2 linked regions of the Diceros bicornis minor genome follow. The protein of the gene in region 2 purifies or fractionates together with the protein of the main gene of each other region. This does not show direct contact. Links are inferred from orthologs where the notes say so. Each region holds a gene or a part of one and is shown on either strand. Other genes may lie near its edges.

Region 1 (7,570 bases), on a different chromosome or scaffold from region 2:
TCTATCCTGGCAAAGCAGCCTAAGGAGAGAGGAGGAAAACTCCCCAGGCCTTGGGCCTGCGTTCCTTTTGTTTTTTTGTGAGGAAGATCAGCCCTGAGCTAACATCCAATGCCCATCCTCCTCTTTTTGCTGAGGAAGATTGGCCCTGGGCTAACATCCGTGCCCATTTTCCTCTGCTTTATGTGGGATGCCACCACAGCATGGCTTGACAAGCAGTGCGTCAGTGCACGCCAGGGATCCGAATCTGCGAACCCTGGGCCACCGAAGCGGAGCGCACACTCTTAACTGCTACGTCACCGGGCCAACCCGGGCCTGCAGTCCTGAGATGGGGTGAGAGGGGCTGAGGGAGGTGATTGGCATGCCCAGTTTGTCAGTTTGGGCTCTGCTCCTTTGCTGACCCTAGGCCCTGGGAGTTGGCCTCCCAGTGGTTAAGTTGCAAGTGTTCTTAAAACGCCACCTTTATGAAGGACAGATTTTCTTTTTTTTTTTAAATTTTTATTTATTTTCCCCCAAAGCACCAGTAGATAGTTGTATGTCGTAGTTGCACAGCCTTCTAGTTGCTGTATGTGGGACGCGGCCTCAGCATGGCCGGAGAAGCGGTGCGTCAGTGCGTGCCCGGGATCCGAACCTGGGCCGCCAGCAGCGGAGCGCGTGCACTTAACCGCTAAGCCATGGGGCTGGCCCAAGGACAGATTTTCTTATCAGAAGCTTCCAAATTACTCTCTTGTGGCCCCAGGGAGGCCTTGTGCCTACTCTTGGGGGGACTCTTTCTAAGTAACTAATTCATATAGACACTTCCCCAGCAACCCATGCCCTAGACTCGAGGCCTGTGGGGAAGGCTCCAGTTTGCGGCTTAGACCTCGGACTGTGAACCGTCTCCTCCCTTTTTCTGTTTGTTTTCAGTCCTCTGACCCCAGGCTGGCTGGTGAGGTAGGCAGAGGGGAGGAGACTCTGGTGCCAACACACACAGACACACACACACAGACACACAGACAGACACACACACACACACACACACACACACACACACACAGAGTCTTCTGTGCCCCCCAGTCTTAGTGGCTGGTCAATGATTGACTGGCATTTCACAGGCCGCTGGTTCCAGACCTCAGCCTGTTGACCATTAGAGGTCACCTCCCTAAGCCAGAGCCCCTTCCTGACTCTTGAGTGCCGGTGGTCACCTCCACTGCCCTCAGGCCCAGTACCTGTTGCACAAGGACCTCCTCCGGCAGGTCTCATGCCTCTGCCCTCAGCCCCTCGGTTCACTCTCCTCTGTCCTGCAGTCAGCCCTCTCCTGTGTAGCTGTCTCCCTCTCCCCAGGCCCCTCACTGGACCCTTCTGGCAAACTCTCAGGCTCTTCCAGCCACCCGGCCATCCCCCCCCACCCCAAGGTCCCCCCCCCTCAGCTTTTGTCCCTCAGACATCCTCTTTCCTTGGCTCTCCTGCCAGGCCCTGCTGGAGGGGCAGTTGAGGGGAGAAGCAAATCAGCAGCGCCCACCCCTGCCCCCCTTCCTCTCCTCTTGTCAAACACCAGACAAGGTTTTTTCCCCTTCCTTCCTGGCTCTGAATGGGCTCATTCTCTTTGGGAGACTTGGCCCCTCTCAAGCCTCCTCCTGGGGCGTGAGTTCTGACCCCCGCTCCCCCCTCATCCCCACTCCCGCTGGCTCCACCCTCTCTCTGCAGCCCACTAGGACTGAGCATTGTCTCCAGTCTGGGTTTCCTCCTGTGATCCGGGATGTGGAGAGGGTGGGCTTGTCTTGGCGGGGGCGGGGGTTGGAGGGGGAGGAGGGATTTTTGTGGAGCTAGGAACCAGCAGTTACCTTGATTTCTTGGAGGACCCCCCTCTGGTTCCCCTACAGGGGCCCAGGGAGAGGGTGGGTTCATGATACCCTTGATTTGGGACTCTGGAGCATAATGGATGAAGCCAAAGCTTCATGGCTCAGTTCCCGTTACCTCGGAATCTCGGGGTTCCTCTTCTGCAAAATGGGGAAGATAACACCCCTCTTCTCTGACACCCTGAGGCCTCAGTAAGATGAAGAGTGTCTCTCCAGGACGGAGAGAGTGGTGCAGAGTGAGAGTCCCGTAAAGGATGGCACCACTTCCCTGGCTGGATGAACTCTTCTAACACAAGAGCAGGGGAAGGTGGGGCCTAGGGGAGAAGTGACATCTCTAACACCCTGACGGTCTCTTGAAGACTGCATGTGCACGTGCCTGGGTGCAAGCACTCTACTATGTGACTGCAAATGACTCTTGGAGCCAGGTCAGCAGTCTTCTTTCCCCGCAGGGCTGAGAGGCACCTTGACTGGGTTCTGGCCTGTGTGATGGGTGAGGGTGAGGGGCTGGTTCTGCTGGCTGTTCAACTTTTCCCTCATTAGCCCTGAGATGGAAGGTCCTGGGAAAATTGGTTAACTCTCTTGAGCCTCCATTCCCTTGACCCTCACTCTAACTCTAACTTGAGTCTTAGAGAAAACAGGGGTATTGATGTCCATCCTGAAGGGCTGCTGTGTCCCCAGACACAGCAGTATTTCTTTAACGTTCATGACCATGATCCAAGGAATAAATCCATTGTACCTCATCACACCGGACACACATGCCCTTACCCACACTCACCCTTACTACACGTGAGGATGTGATGCGGATCTTTTCTATTCCATTCTATATCTTGAAAAAAAAAAGACCTGGGCCAGCCCCGTGGCTTAGCGGTTAAGTGCGCGCGCTCCGCTACTGGCGGCCCGGGTTCAGATCCTGGGCGCGCACCGAAGCACCGCTTGTCTGGCCATGCTGAGGCTGTGTCCCACATACAGCAACTACAACGATGTGCAACTATGACATACAACTATCTACTGGGGCTTTGGGGAAAAAAAAGGAGGAGGATTGGCAATAGATGTTAGCTCAGAGCCGGTCTTCCTCAGCAAAAAGAGGAGGATTAGCATGGATGTTAGCTCAGGGCTGATCTTCCTCACACACACACAAAAAAAGACTTGACTTGATCACCTAAATTGGTTTCATGACTGACCTTCTAATAGAACCTGACCTGCAGTTTGAACATCACTGGTTAGAGCTGGAGGAGGACTTACCAGGGTGTTAAGAAAGGGTAAGCTTCAGGCCCCTCATTTGCATGCATGTGTCTGCTTTTGTATTCATAACTTTGTATTCCTCTTGTTAAAGAGAGTCCCCCAAATTTCATAAGCTTCAGGCCCCACAAAACCTGGATCTGTCCAAGTATAAGAAAATCTGAGACCATGTATTAAGCAATCACTATGTGCCAAGTACTGTGCTGAATGCTTCAGGAGCATTATTTCCTATAATCCCTAGCACAGTATGCCAGATGGCTATTTTACAGGTGAGCAGACTGAGACCCAGAGAGGCTCAGTCACTTGCCCAAGGTCACACAGCCAATAAGGGGTGGAGTTGAGATTTGAACTCAGGTCATTCTGATCCCAGAGTGCCCTGTTCTCACGTCCCTACTGTGAAAGTGCCCGCCTATAACCATGATAGGAATATGGAAGCAGCTTAAGCAACGCTAGCGTCCTTCACTCTCCAGTCCCCAGTAGGTGCCTCTGATCCCCTCTTGACCAACACAGGCGTGCCCTTGGCTGAGGCATTCCAACTAGAGTTGCCAGATTTAGCAAATAAAAATAAGGATGCCCAGTTAAATTTGAATTTCAGATAAACAGAGAATAATTTGTTAGTATAAGTATGTCCCATGCAATATTTTGTTGGAATTTCCAACAAAAACATGCCTTCCTTCCATCGCCCACCCCCAATCCCCCCCCCACCCACCACGGGGCCTTAAGAACATGGTCCGGGGCTCCCGGTGGAATGCAGGGCGGGGAGGTGGAATTGAGCAGGCTAATAAAAGGCAAGAGACACAGAAGAAACCCTGGATGTATGGGGTGCTGAGTGCCCCGGTAAAGAAACACAAGGGATATTCTTGGAAGGATTGAGATGGAAGTCTCTCCAATTTGACTCTCTCTCCCCCAAACTTGTAGACCCCCTTAAAACCACGCGTTTCAGACTGAAAAAGATACCTAAGAAATTCGAAAAGCTACGCCAGGGAGTCCCGGAAGCCACCAATGAAATACACCACTATTGACTAGCAATTTTACTTAAGGATGCGGTGGGAAAACCATTATTTGATATGAAAACAAGGCACGCGATGGAGTAGGATGCAAACTCGCCAGGAATGTTTACGATAAAACCTGCGACTTAAAAGAGAGTTAAGGATGTCAGCCTAAAGCATTTGCTCCAGACTCCTGAGGGAGGGGTCACGAGCACCCTCCTCTCCTTTTGGGGGTTCTCCTTGGGAACGGGTGAGAACTGCTGCAGGCAGCCCGAGCGTCCGGGCGCTGGGAGGGACGCACCCCGGCCTGCGCCGAGAGAGGGAGAAAGTGAAGCTGGGAGTTGCCACTCCCAGGGACTTGCTGGAATGTGGTTGGAGGGGGTGGGGGGGGCGAGTTGTGAGCGCGCTTGCTCCCAATCACAGGAGGAGGAGGAGGTGGAGGAGGAGGGCTGCCTTGAGGAAGTACAGGCATGAAGTTGTGGAGCTGAGATTCCCCTCCATCGTGCCCAGAGAGCCGACAAGAGCCCCCCGAGGCAGCCGTCCGCCCCTTCGCAGGGTGCCCTTTCCGGCGCCGAGCGCCCAGCCCCCTCCCCTCGACGCGCCCGGCGCCCTCCCAGCCTGGTCCAGCCGGAGCCATGGGGCCGGAGCCGCAGTGAGCACCATGGAGCTGGCGGCCTGGTGCCGCTGGGGGCTCCTCCTCGCCCTCCTGCCCCCTGGAGCCGCGGGCACCCAAGGTGGGTCTGGTGTGGGGTGGGCATTGAGCAGTGACGGGACCCTGCAGCCTGGGACCCCCGTGGAAATCCTCGGGCCGGCGGGGGCTCCCCGACCCGAAGTTTCGGGCAGTCCAGGCGCTCAGAGCAGCCGGCCCCCGGCGGGGAGGGGGCAAAAGAAGGTGGGACGGGGGGTAATTACACCAGAGCGGCTCTAGATGTCCCATTCAAGGGACTGGCGCTTTCCAGACTCCGCGACGGCTCCGGGAACTTGTCAAAAAAGTTCTCTGAAATTGTTCAGAAAGTTTTCCCTCAAAGGGTGTATTGCATGGTGTGTGTGCGCGTTCGTGTTCCCCCTTCTGAGCCCCCTCAGGCTTTCTCAAAGCCTTTCCAGTTGGCAGCCTCCGCCTCCAGACTGGACTGAGCTGGATTTCTCGGGGGTCTCTTCTGCCTGCCCCTCCCCCTGCCCCCCCCTTCGGCAGATAGGGTTTAGTTACTCCAGCTTCGGACAGGATCGGGGTGTGGAGGGGGGAGGTGGGGAAAGCAACCTGTCCAGCCGGAGCCGGGGAGGAGAGAGGCCAGTCGGACTGCAGAGTTGCCTCATGCTGGAGTCGGGGATGGGGGGAGGGGGAGGCGTTTGTTTTGAACAAGTTTTCTTTAGGGCCAGTTTGGAGACTGTGTGCTTTATGACTTTTGGAGAGCATGGGCCCCGGAGGGGTGGTGGTGGGTTTCCTGGTCTGGGGCTCAGAATGGGAGAGTTCTAAGGGAGGGATTTCTGGGCAGTTGGAGGCGGGAGGGAGGCTAAGAAATAGGACGGGACAGGGGTATGCGGACGGCTGGGTTGTCCTGCCTTTTTCTTCACGCTGTGTGTGGGGAAGAGTTATGGGGGGGCAGGGTGGGGGCAGTGTGTGTCCTGCCCATCTGTCCATCTGTATGCAATAATGATTAGAGGTAACGTGTGCTGGGAATATACTCTGTGCCAGGCTCTGTGCAGGTGTTCTGCATGTGTTCCCTCCTTGAATAGAACAACCCTGTAAGAGAAGTCCTACTAGTATTCCCATTTTCCAGGTGAAAACCTGGACTCAAAGAGGTTAATAAGTAGCAGAGAGTAAGTGGTGGGTCCCAGATTGGACCCCAGGCAGTGGGACCTCCAACCACACATTCGAAATCACTGTATTAATCTACCTTGAACAATGGGGGACGCTGCTCCCTGCATCATGGGGTTCTGGGGAAGACAAAATGAGAGTGTTCTGGAAGTAGTGGGTGGTCTCCATAGGTCGAGGAGTCTGGAGAAGGGGTGGGTGTCATCCTGTCTGTGTGTTGCCCGAGGGTCCTTCTGTCAGAGCGTTGCTGTGTTATCTGAGGGGCTTCTATGCTAGGGTGTTCTTGAGTTGTGTGGTCTGTGTGTTTGTGTGTTTGGGCTTTGTGTTGCCAAACAGCAGTCTCCATGCTGACTTGGGGACTCGGCTGAACTCTGCCCTCTCAAGGAACTCCCTCAAGGTGCCGGGCCAGAGCTGCTGTAAACAGCAGGAGGTGGCCCCACACCTTCTTTCCAAGGAAGGAGGCTCCTCTTTCTCGGGAGCCCATCCTTCCCCTCCCTGTTTTCCAGGCGGGTATCTTCACCCCTGACCTTCTGCGGAGAAGGGTGAGGCCAGGCTGGGCTTTCAGGCTGAGCTGCTGCCCTCCTCACCTGGGCCTTCGAATTGAGCAGGTGGAGAGTAGCCGAGTTGCTGGGACCTGAGGGGTCGGTTCTGCCACCGATGACCCGGGCCTCCTCAGGTCTTCCTCACCCCTCAGCCTGCACTGCTAGGTTGTGTGTTGTGCAGGGAATGGTTAAAATGGCAGCGCACCACCCAGCTGCCTCTAGCACCCCCATTATATCCCAGGGCTAATGGCTGCGGCAGGAATGTGGGGGAAGGGGAGACAGAAAGGCCCAGAGGGTCAGCATTTCCCTGGGATCCTTTTTTAGAGGTCAAGGTTTTGTAAAGTGCAACAAACACATCTTCTTTATCTTGCAAAGCTCATAGTTTAATTCCCATATGATTCTCCCAACAGCCTCCTTCCTTCTTTTTACTATACTCAAGGAAAGTAACCTCATTTTAATATTCAGGGAAAAAATGATTGAAAAGATAGGATGAAATGCAAAAAGAGAATTACTCATACTCCTGCTGTATGAACTTCCCAAGCCTTAACTTTTAAAATATATACAGCGTGCTTCCTGTGTGCAGGTGCTTCTCCATTACGGTTTCATTTTCTGTCTGCAACAATCCTGTGAAGGAGGTACACAGGTGAGAAAACTGAAGTTCAAAGAAATGAGGTGACTCACCCAGGGCTTCCCAGCGACCCAATAATGTCCAGGGCATTTTTGTACTCTAATGAGGAGGTGTTAAGGGTTGGTCAAAGTCTCGTTCCATGTCCATCCATACAGGAATGGGTTGAGCGAAGCCTCAGGGGCAGCCAGGTGGCTGGACTGGGGGACAGGTGCCACTCTTACTCAGGTGAATGAGCTCCCTTATCTGGGCCATAGAAAGTGGGGTGAGTGGGGCCCCCCTGAGGTCCCCTCTAGGCTTCAGAGTCCTCCCCCTCCCTGTTCAGCCCATGTCTGCCTTCCTCTTGGACCCTCCTGGCATTGCAGGGGGCTGAGGGCAGGAGCGGGGCAGAGGCCAGTGGGACCTGCAAGGCGGTGGGTGAGGGAGACAGCTGGAGTAGAAGCATGAAGGACCAGTGTGGGGCAGGGGTTGGGGGCTGGTGTTGGGCCCAGGTAGTTGTGCCTGCCCCTGGGTGCTGGAATGATCTG
Region 2 (8,079 bases):
AAGCAGAAGTCACGCTATTCACATCTTAGAATCTAATCAGTTAACACCCTATAATCAGTAAAATCAAGTCTACTGAAGCTCAGAATACCCAGTTTGGAATTTATTGATCATCAAATGTGAGTAAAACAGAAAAGACTGCAATTTTAAAGGTATTTATGCCACGTGAAATGTCACACAGGCAACAGAAAGCCCAAAAAACGACCAGTAGTTTTGCTCCAAAAATTAAAGGGCAAGGCAAAGTGGATCTTGTGACCATAGGAAAGTGCAAATAAGAGGACACCCTGTCTTCTCCGGGAAGTCACCACTTGTGAACTAAGTGTCTTCCCCACAATGCCACTGACACATGGCATTGGTAGTCACTCTTGCAACAGGTGAACACTTAACGAAGTTATTCTGATACTGCCCACATGATTTTATTTTTTAAAAAACTACCTAAGAGTATGTAAAGGAAAAACCACAATACCCCAGATTGCCTCAAAAAAAAAAAAAAAATACTACCTAATGGCAACATTGGGCTCTATCTCTCACTACTTAACACAGCCACTGCCTGTGTTAAAACCCACACTATGACCACTGGTTTTCACGAAGCCAGTGAATTTCACAGAAGCAGCAGTGTGTTGAAGAGAAAACTGAACCCTAACTAACAGGTCCAGCTTCAGAACTCTGCAGTGCTCGATCACTAAGCAATGTTTAGTGTGGGCCAAGTTAAAGATCTGTGCCCCATTTTCAGAGGTACAGGATCTTCACATAAGAAAAGAATTAACTTCTCTTCTTTCCCCTCAAGGCAGCCAGATAGACACCCAGACCACATTTTCTTAGATCAAGCCACAGGTGTTGGTTAAAACTTGCGTCACCAGTTTTGTTTCTCGTTTTTAAACAGTGAATATCAGGCCTGAGGTTACCACTGTGTCTCTTCGATATTCTAGGAAAGATGTCCAATTACTTTCAACTGAAAAGCAGACTATTCAAGCCAGGCCTTTTCTGGAAGGTACTAACAGTTCTGCAGAGATGCTAATTATTGATAATTGGACAGGATTTTTGATTCACGGACCAGATTTTTTACAAGTAAAAAAAAGGGGAGGCTATTACATTCTACCATGTTTACAGAAATCTAATGTATTTTTTTCCTGCCAAACCTCCTGTAAGAAGTGTCCCACTAAGTCCTGATAGGCCAAACTCCTGACAGCACAGAAAACAGCCTCTTTGCAGTGAAACAAATCCTGCCTAAATCAACCAAGTCTCTGGCACCCGCTCCTGAAGTAACGCTACTCCAAAACTTAACTTGCACCATTTATAGAGGACAAATGCTAGAGGGTGCGCCCCACTCCGCTGGATCATCAAGCCCAAAGGGACTCCTAGGGAAAAGACAGGAAGGGTCTGGAACACAGTTCCCTGGACTGCCAACCAGGTGGAAAACGACAAACTCTCAGCAGTCACAGATCTCCAGGAACTCTCAAAGCCCCCTAACTCAGGGAGCCTCCAGGGAAGGCTGCCTTCTGCCCTGGCCAGAGCCAAGTCGGGCCACCATGGTCCTGGGAGATGAGGAGGCGGCTACACACAAACTCTCACTAATAAATAATGTAAATGGAAGACTGCAGCCAAGAGTCACCTTCATTCATTACCCACTGGAAGGCCAAGGAGCTCAGACACCAAAGAGTTGGGTTACAGAAGGGGAAAAAGAAACACATACCCGCAGACCCCCAGACAGACCTCCTCACACTCTCCCCTCCAGATGTTTCCCTCTCCACCCACACACACGCACAAAGACCCTCACCTCCAGACTCTTCACTCACATTCTCTCACCTCCAGACTCCCACTCACTACCTCCCACATCGCCCTCATGCCCCACGGCTCATTCACCTCCAGATGCGTCTGACCCACGCTCGCTCACCTCCAGAACCCCCCGAGACACACTCTTTTCTCTTCCAGGCCCTCACCACCCACGCTCATTCCCCTCCAGACCCTCACGACCCCCGCTCGCTCCCCTCCGGACCCCCATGAGGCACACTCTTTCCTCCTTCAGACTTCTCACGCCCGCCCTCTCCCCTCCGGACCCCCGTGCGCGATCTCACCACTACGACCCAAGCTAACAGTTTTCCAGCCCATACAACTTCACACACACACAACTCAACCCATACCCCCTTCCTGGGTAAGCACCCCCGCCGCCCCGTCCCCAAGTGACAGCGCCCCGGGCTCAGGGAAAGGGTGGCACTCACAGGGTCCGCGTCCAGGCGGGCAGGTCTCCGGGCAGTGCCGCTAACCCGCGCCCGCCGCAGTCCAGCGAGTCCCCAGCGCAAGCGCAGGCGGCGGAGCAGGGCGATCGCGGGCCGGCCGCGGCCGTCGCCGGCTCCAGCCGAAGCAGCAGCAGCCACAGGAGAAGGCACGGCGAGCGGCGCGGGGCCCCGAGTGCTCCCCGGACCGGCCGCGCCATCTTGTCTGGAGCGCGCTGCGAACTCCCGGCGCGGGGGCTGCGAGGTCCCGGACGACCGCAGGCGCAGGCGGGCCCGCGGGGGCTCCGCTCGGCTCTAGGCTCCGCGCCGGGGCATGGCCACCGGCACAAGTTCTCTCCGCCGCAGCGGCTCCGGCGCTCAGCGGGTCCCCGGTGCCCCGGCCGCTCCGCAGCGCCAGGAGGGGGCCGCGAGCCCCGCGCCCATCCGGGCCGACCCGACCGTGCTCGCTGCGAACCCCACGGATCCGGGCAAGGGGTGCTCAGCGGGCGCTCTCCGTGCTCCCGCCGCGCTCCTGGCCTGCTCCTGAGCCCCAGAGGTCGCCAAGTGCAGCCGCCGCCGCTGCAGGGCAGGCGCTCAGCCTCGCAGCCCGAGCTCTGCGCCCGAAGGCATCCTCCTCTCGGCTCGGAGCGCCCCGCTGCAGACCCCGGGCTGGACGGCGCGGTCGCCCTGCACTGCTCCGAGGGCCCCGTGTGCCTTGCTGTCCCAGAGCCGCAGGCAGAGCGCGCGCGCGCAGTTCCGGGCTCCGCACAGCACCTCCGCGCAGCGAGAGCCCCGCCGACCTCGCGGCCGAACAATCAGCCGCTCGCCGCTCTTCTCCCCGCGGCCCAGCCTGGGCCGGTCCCCGAGGCCCCGCCCCCGGCTGCTCGCCCTCACACACCCCCTGGACTCCGCGCCCCGCGGCCTCCCGCCGGCCCACGTTGGATGATTTGCAACAGCGCCCCGCCACGCCCCACGCCTGCTGCTCATTGGCTGCCGGAGCCCACGGCGGCCAGCCTGGAGGGCCATTGGAGCGCTCGCTGTGATCCCGCCCCTCCCGCCTCGCGGCCGCCCCGCCCGACTCTCTTTTCCCACCCAAGGTGTGAAGGGCGGGGACTGGGAGGAGAGGGAGAGAAGTCCTCCGACTCTTAAAGGGGCCGTGCTGGAGAAGGAGGGTGCGGGCTGGGGAGAGGCGTAAAGATATGCTCCCTGGGTCTAGGGGAGGAGAGAACGTTGCTTAAGAGGGTAACGCCCCCGCTTTGGAGCTGTCTGACCCCAAGATTTCTTCGCTTCTCCTCAGGCTGCAAACAGGGGCGGGGATTTAGAGCAAATCTGCACTCATTTTCCAGGTGCCCTCTGGGACTAAAGACAGATTTAAAAACTTCACGAATTACCTACTGATTGGAGTATCTTTAGTTATTTCATTAGGGGTGGCCGCCTTCCTCTTGGCACAATCTGGACCTGCCTTCTGTTCCTGACTGTTCTTGAACTCTTAAATCCAACAATATGTCCTTGATTACCAAAGTGAATGTGTACTGCAGAAACCACGTCTCAAGGGTGCACACACTCCCACCCCCCAACCCCACCGCCCTAGGTAGTAGAACGGTACTTAAAATGCTCCAGCCTTCGATAAAGGAATTGCTTTGTATGGTTGTTTAAATCAGAGCCGTTTAAAGCCAGTTTTCAAGGAGACATAGAGTACTTTTAAGAGACAGGAGAAAAGTAAAAATAGTTACAAACTTCTAATTTTGGCTCTTACATGTCCGAACATGGTAGCCATGTGTTATGACAGTGCATCTAAACAGTAAGGGCTGCGCGCGGACACACACGCGCGCGCACACACACAGTGAAAAAAGGAAAAGACTAGCACAGCAATATATAGCTGCCCCTCTGGGCGTTTTTGGTTTGCCAGTGTCTCATGTCCCTTCCGAAGAGTATGCAAGTTTCTAACATAACTGCACACATTGTCAGGAAAATTAAGCAAGTCGAGACTGTTGAAAAACATTTGCTCCAGCAAATGAAACTGACTTGTATTTATGGAAACGGAGGAGAGATGTTCCTTAGGAAGAAAAAGCAAAAAAAAAATTTTAAGGTTTTTTTTTTTTTTCCATTTTTGACACCTTCTAAGGGATTTGGTTTAATTGAGATGTTAAACTTTACCTCAGCCATAAGCGCACCCCTTTTCTTTAACCAAACTTGGGGTTGGGACTTGGTAGTCAAGTGGTTGCTGGTTTCCTTTCTTCTTATTCCCTCCTCCCCCTTCTTCTGATTCATTATGCTATCAGATAATGGTGCCTCATTTCTCTCTCTCTCTCCCATGATCCCAGCAGTGATGCCCAAAGCAATGCTCAAATATGTGTATAAATCCATCCAAATATGATCCCCAAGAAAGATTATCAGAAAAATGCTGCACCTGACCCATTCTACCCAGGGCTTTAACCAGCTTTTGTATTTCATTTCTAATCCACATAAACATGCACCTTCCATCTGGACAAGAAGGAATATATCTCTTTGTTGTGATGCCTTTTGGTAAAATAATAATAAGCAGAGAAATGGAATTTAAAGGACCCCAAAATTATGAAGTCCTCTATGTTATGTGTCTTCTATTTTTCAAGACGGAAGAATACAAAACAGTAATTTAATGCAGAATACCCATGAACATTTCCTTAAATGAAACTGTCAGATCCTCCTTGCCCCACCTACTCCCCAAAATAAAACAGCATATGCCTCAAAAAGAAATTGAACTCTTTGAACTTCTTGGGCTGCTGACCTAAAATTGTCTTTCAGGTTTGTTCCATTATTGGTATGGTAAAATGGATATTTATTATCGGAAGTTTTCCAAATGCTTGTGGGTGTACCTGTTCGATGCTCTTTGGGGACACGAGAGTTCTGGAGGATAGGAATTGAGAATCTGCAAGGTAAGGTGTGCCCACACATCTAAAGCATCCCCTGTGGTCTGGTTACCACGCAGCCAGAGAGGAGGATTCCAAAACCAAAGAACACTTGGGGGGACTGGGCGCCTGAGCCTTGGCAATTCCTCTCGTCTACAGCAGAGCATGAAGTCATGTCTGCTCCCCGTACCATGTATGGAAGTTTGCCCATATACTAGCAACCTGCTTGTGATTGAAAGGAGAGTGTGCGCTTGAGAGCAGTGATGTCGAGCTCAGGGGAGAATTCATCTGTGCCCACAGCCTAAGATCAGGGAGACCTGAACACCCACAACGGCAAGTTCCTAAGGGAGTCTATGTCCATGCTTCTAAAAGAGCAAATCCTGGGGCCAGCCCGTGGTGTAGTGGTTAAGTTCGTGTGCTCCGCTGCAGCGGCCCAGGGTCCACAGGCCCAGATCCCAGGTGCAGACCAAGGCACCGCTTGTCAAGCCATGCTGTGACGGTGTCCCATATAAAGTAGAGGAAGATGGGCACAGATGTAAGCCCGGGGCCAATCTTCCTCAGCAAAAAAAAGAGGAGGATTGGCAACAAATGTTAGCTCAGGGCTAATCTTCCTCACAAAAAAAAAGAAAAAGAAAAAAAAAAGAGCAAGTCGTGGTCCATTCAGCACAGAGCAACAGTTGATTTGGGCACCCTGGGTCCTCATTTTCCTCCACTGCCATTTTCACAATTTTAAATAGTTACTTATTCCTCGAAGAGGTCATCCAGGGATTTTAGATTTTTCAGCTCGTTTTAATCTACCAGAGACCAAACTCCAGGGCCAGCATGGAATCAAATCCCCAACGATAATCACTACAGATCTCTTTCAAATACAGAAGCCCTAGCAGCTAATCATCCGAAACACTCTGAAAGAGAGGAACCCCGCATTTAAATAGCCTGAAATCACCAAGTGGGGAGAGAAGCAAATGACAAAATAACAAGAAAGCAGGTTGATCACAGAGATTTCTATTTTTACACAAATTCCAGGGGACTGAATTGGGGCAGTTTGTTACAGTTCTAGGTGGTGATAATTGGTGATTTTATAGAACACTGAGATCCAGAGGTGCTTTCTTACTGCGAGAAGAGATTTCACATTATGTTCAGTACATTAAAAGAGCACCAGGAGAGCCTTCAGAAGACCTGGAGCCTAGCCAGGCCTCATTAGCCAGGAAACCTTTGCCCAGTCATTTATTTTCTTTAAACTTCAGTTTTCTCAAATAGAAAACAAGGATAATGGTACTTCTGACCTGAATGCTAATACGGTTAAAGAAGGATCCATTTTGATATAGGACGCAAGGGGCTTTATAAACTGTTTAGGGCTACATATATCTAAGGCTTATTTTTAAGATGTTATTGAATTTTAACTCTGAAAAAATTGAGAGTCCATATACATACTATAGATGGAAAATCTTTTTTTTTTTTTTTGTGAGGAAGATCAGCCCTGAGCTAACATCCATGCTAATCCTCCTCTTTTTGCTGAGGAAGACCGGCTCTGAGCTGACATCTATTGCCAATCCTCCTCCTTTTTTTTCCCCCAAAGCCCCAGTAGATAGTTGTATGTCATAGTTGCACATCCTTCTAGTTGCTGTATGTGGGACTCGGCCTCAGCATGGCCGGAGAAGCGGTGCGTCGGTGCGCGCCCGGGATCTGAACCCGGGCCGCCAGCAGCGGAACGCACGCACTCAACCGCTAGGCCACCGGGCCGGCCCTAGATGGAAAATCTTAGTAGGTGCTTTCAACATAAAGGGTTTTTTCCAGGAATGCCACAAAGGGTTAATAATTACCTATAAAACCCCTGAAGACTGGCAGGGTGATGACAGCTCTGCTTTGAGCCTGTCTTGTATCTCTCTTCCAAGGAAAATAAAGCCGTGTACTCATTAACTCCTTCCTCACAATAATCTTGTCAAGGAGATGGATTGGTAGAGAAGGTAAGAGAGGAAGCTAATGAGTCCGGGGATGGAATATAAGAAGAGACAATTTTGATATTTCTCTGTCCCCCATTGCAACGTTTCCCTTTGGTGGAGGTGAGACGTGTGCTTCGTTGTGCAATCTCTGACTATCGGAATGCTGGTTAATGCCCAGACAGTGCCAAGCTGTAGCTGCAGCATTTCTGCAGCAAGAATGGCTGTTGCCTGCGGCTCAGCTGCAACCCTGCACAAGTCTCTGCCCTCTTCTACAGAGCAGCATCAAACAGGGGCCAAAAAGCATTCAAGTCTACCTTCTAACACAAACTAGGACCTGCACACTTGTCTTCACCTTGTGAATTTGCAATTTTAACTGGTTCACTGAAGGGATAAAAGAAAATTTTATGTAAGCTAAGAACATTTCAAAACTCTGAGATTCTGGAGTGATGGTCAGTGTACGAGGCAGCCTCTTGGCTGCAGTGATGAAGGGATGGGCTAATTGCATCATCACCAGAGATTGTACCTCTCGCCCCCAATCCACTGCCTTTCCAATTGTTACTTGGAGCAGCATGTGAAAGAGGAGGGGGCGGGAAATCAAAGTTTATGCCTTACTGCCAGCAATTCAGAAGCAACACTTCAGTGTGTATAAAGAACAGCACATTTATCATAACTTATAATAATAATCTTCATGAAGTCATATACCTTCTATTTTTCAAAGCAATGTCTCATCTTAGCAACAGCTATCATTTACTGAGCACTTATTACGTGTCTGTCACTTGGCTGAGTGCTTTGTATACTTTTCTCATTGAGGTAAAGTTGAGAAGAATGCTCAAGGCCACACAAGCTAATCAGTGACAAGGCCAAGATTCCAAGCCGGCTCTGTGGACACCAAAGATCCATTATGACATGTGAGCCTTATAAACTCTGAACATGACAGTTGTTATTGTCCCCACTTTATAGATGCGAAAGCTGAGGTTAAATGATTGTGTCAAGGTCACACAGGGTCAAGAATAAATAAAACCTTAAATCGAAGTTCCATCT

Evidence for each region.
Region 1: the proteins of LRIG1 (region 2) and ERBB2 purify together in Homo sapiens (co-immunoprecipitation; 4 studies listed by BioGRID and IntAct, with this or other methods). This does not show direct contact. The link is inferred for Diceros bicornis minor from reciprocal best matches to the Homo sapiens genes LRIG1 and ERBB2.

The regions. Positions count from the first base shown.
Region 1 is NC_080757.1:39,359,126-39,366,695, forward strand, and holds the start of ERBB2 (receptor tyrosine-protein kinase erbB-2), read left to right. Parts: upstream 1-4,510; 5' UTR 4,511-4,724; coding exon 4,725-4,797; intron 4,798-7,570. UniProt on the Homo sapiens protein: Protein tyrosine kinase that is part of several cell surface receptor complexes, but that apparently needs a coreceptor for ligand binding. Essential component of a neuregulin-receptor complex, although neuregulins do not interact with it alone.
Region 2 is NC_080741.1:65,480,845-65,488,923, forward strand, and holds the start of LRIG1 (leucine-rich repeats and immunoglobulin-like domains protein 1), read right to left. Parts: upstream 3,002-8,079; 5' UTR 2,432-3,001; coding exon 2,217-2,431; intron 1-2,216. UniProt on the Homo sapiens protein: Acts as a feedback negative regulator of signaling by receptor tyrosine kinases, through a mechanism that involves enhancement of receptor ubiquitination and accelerated intracellular degradation.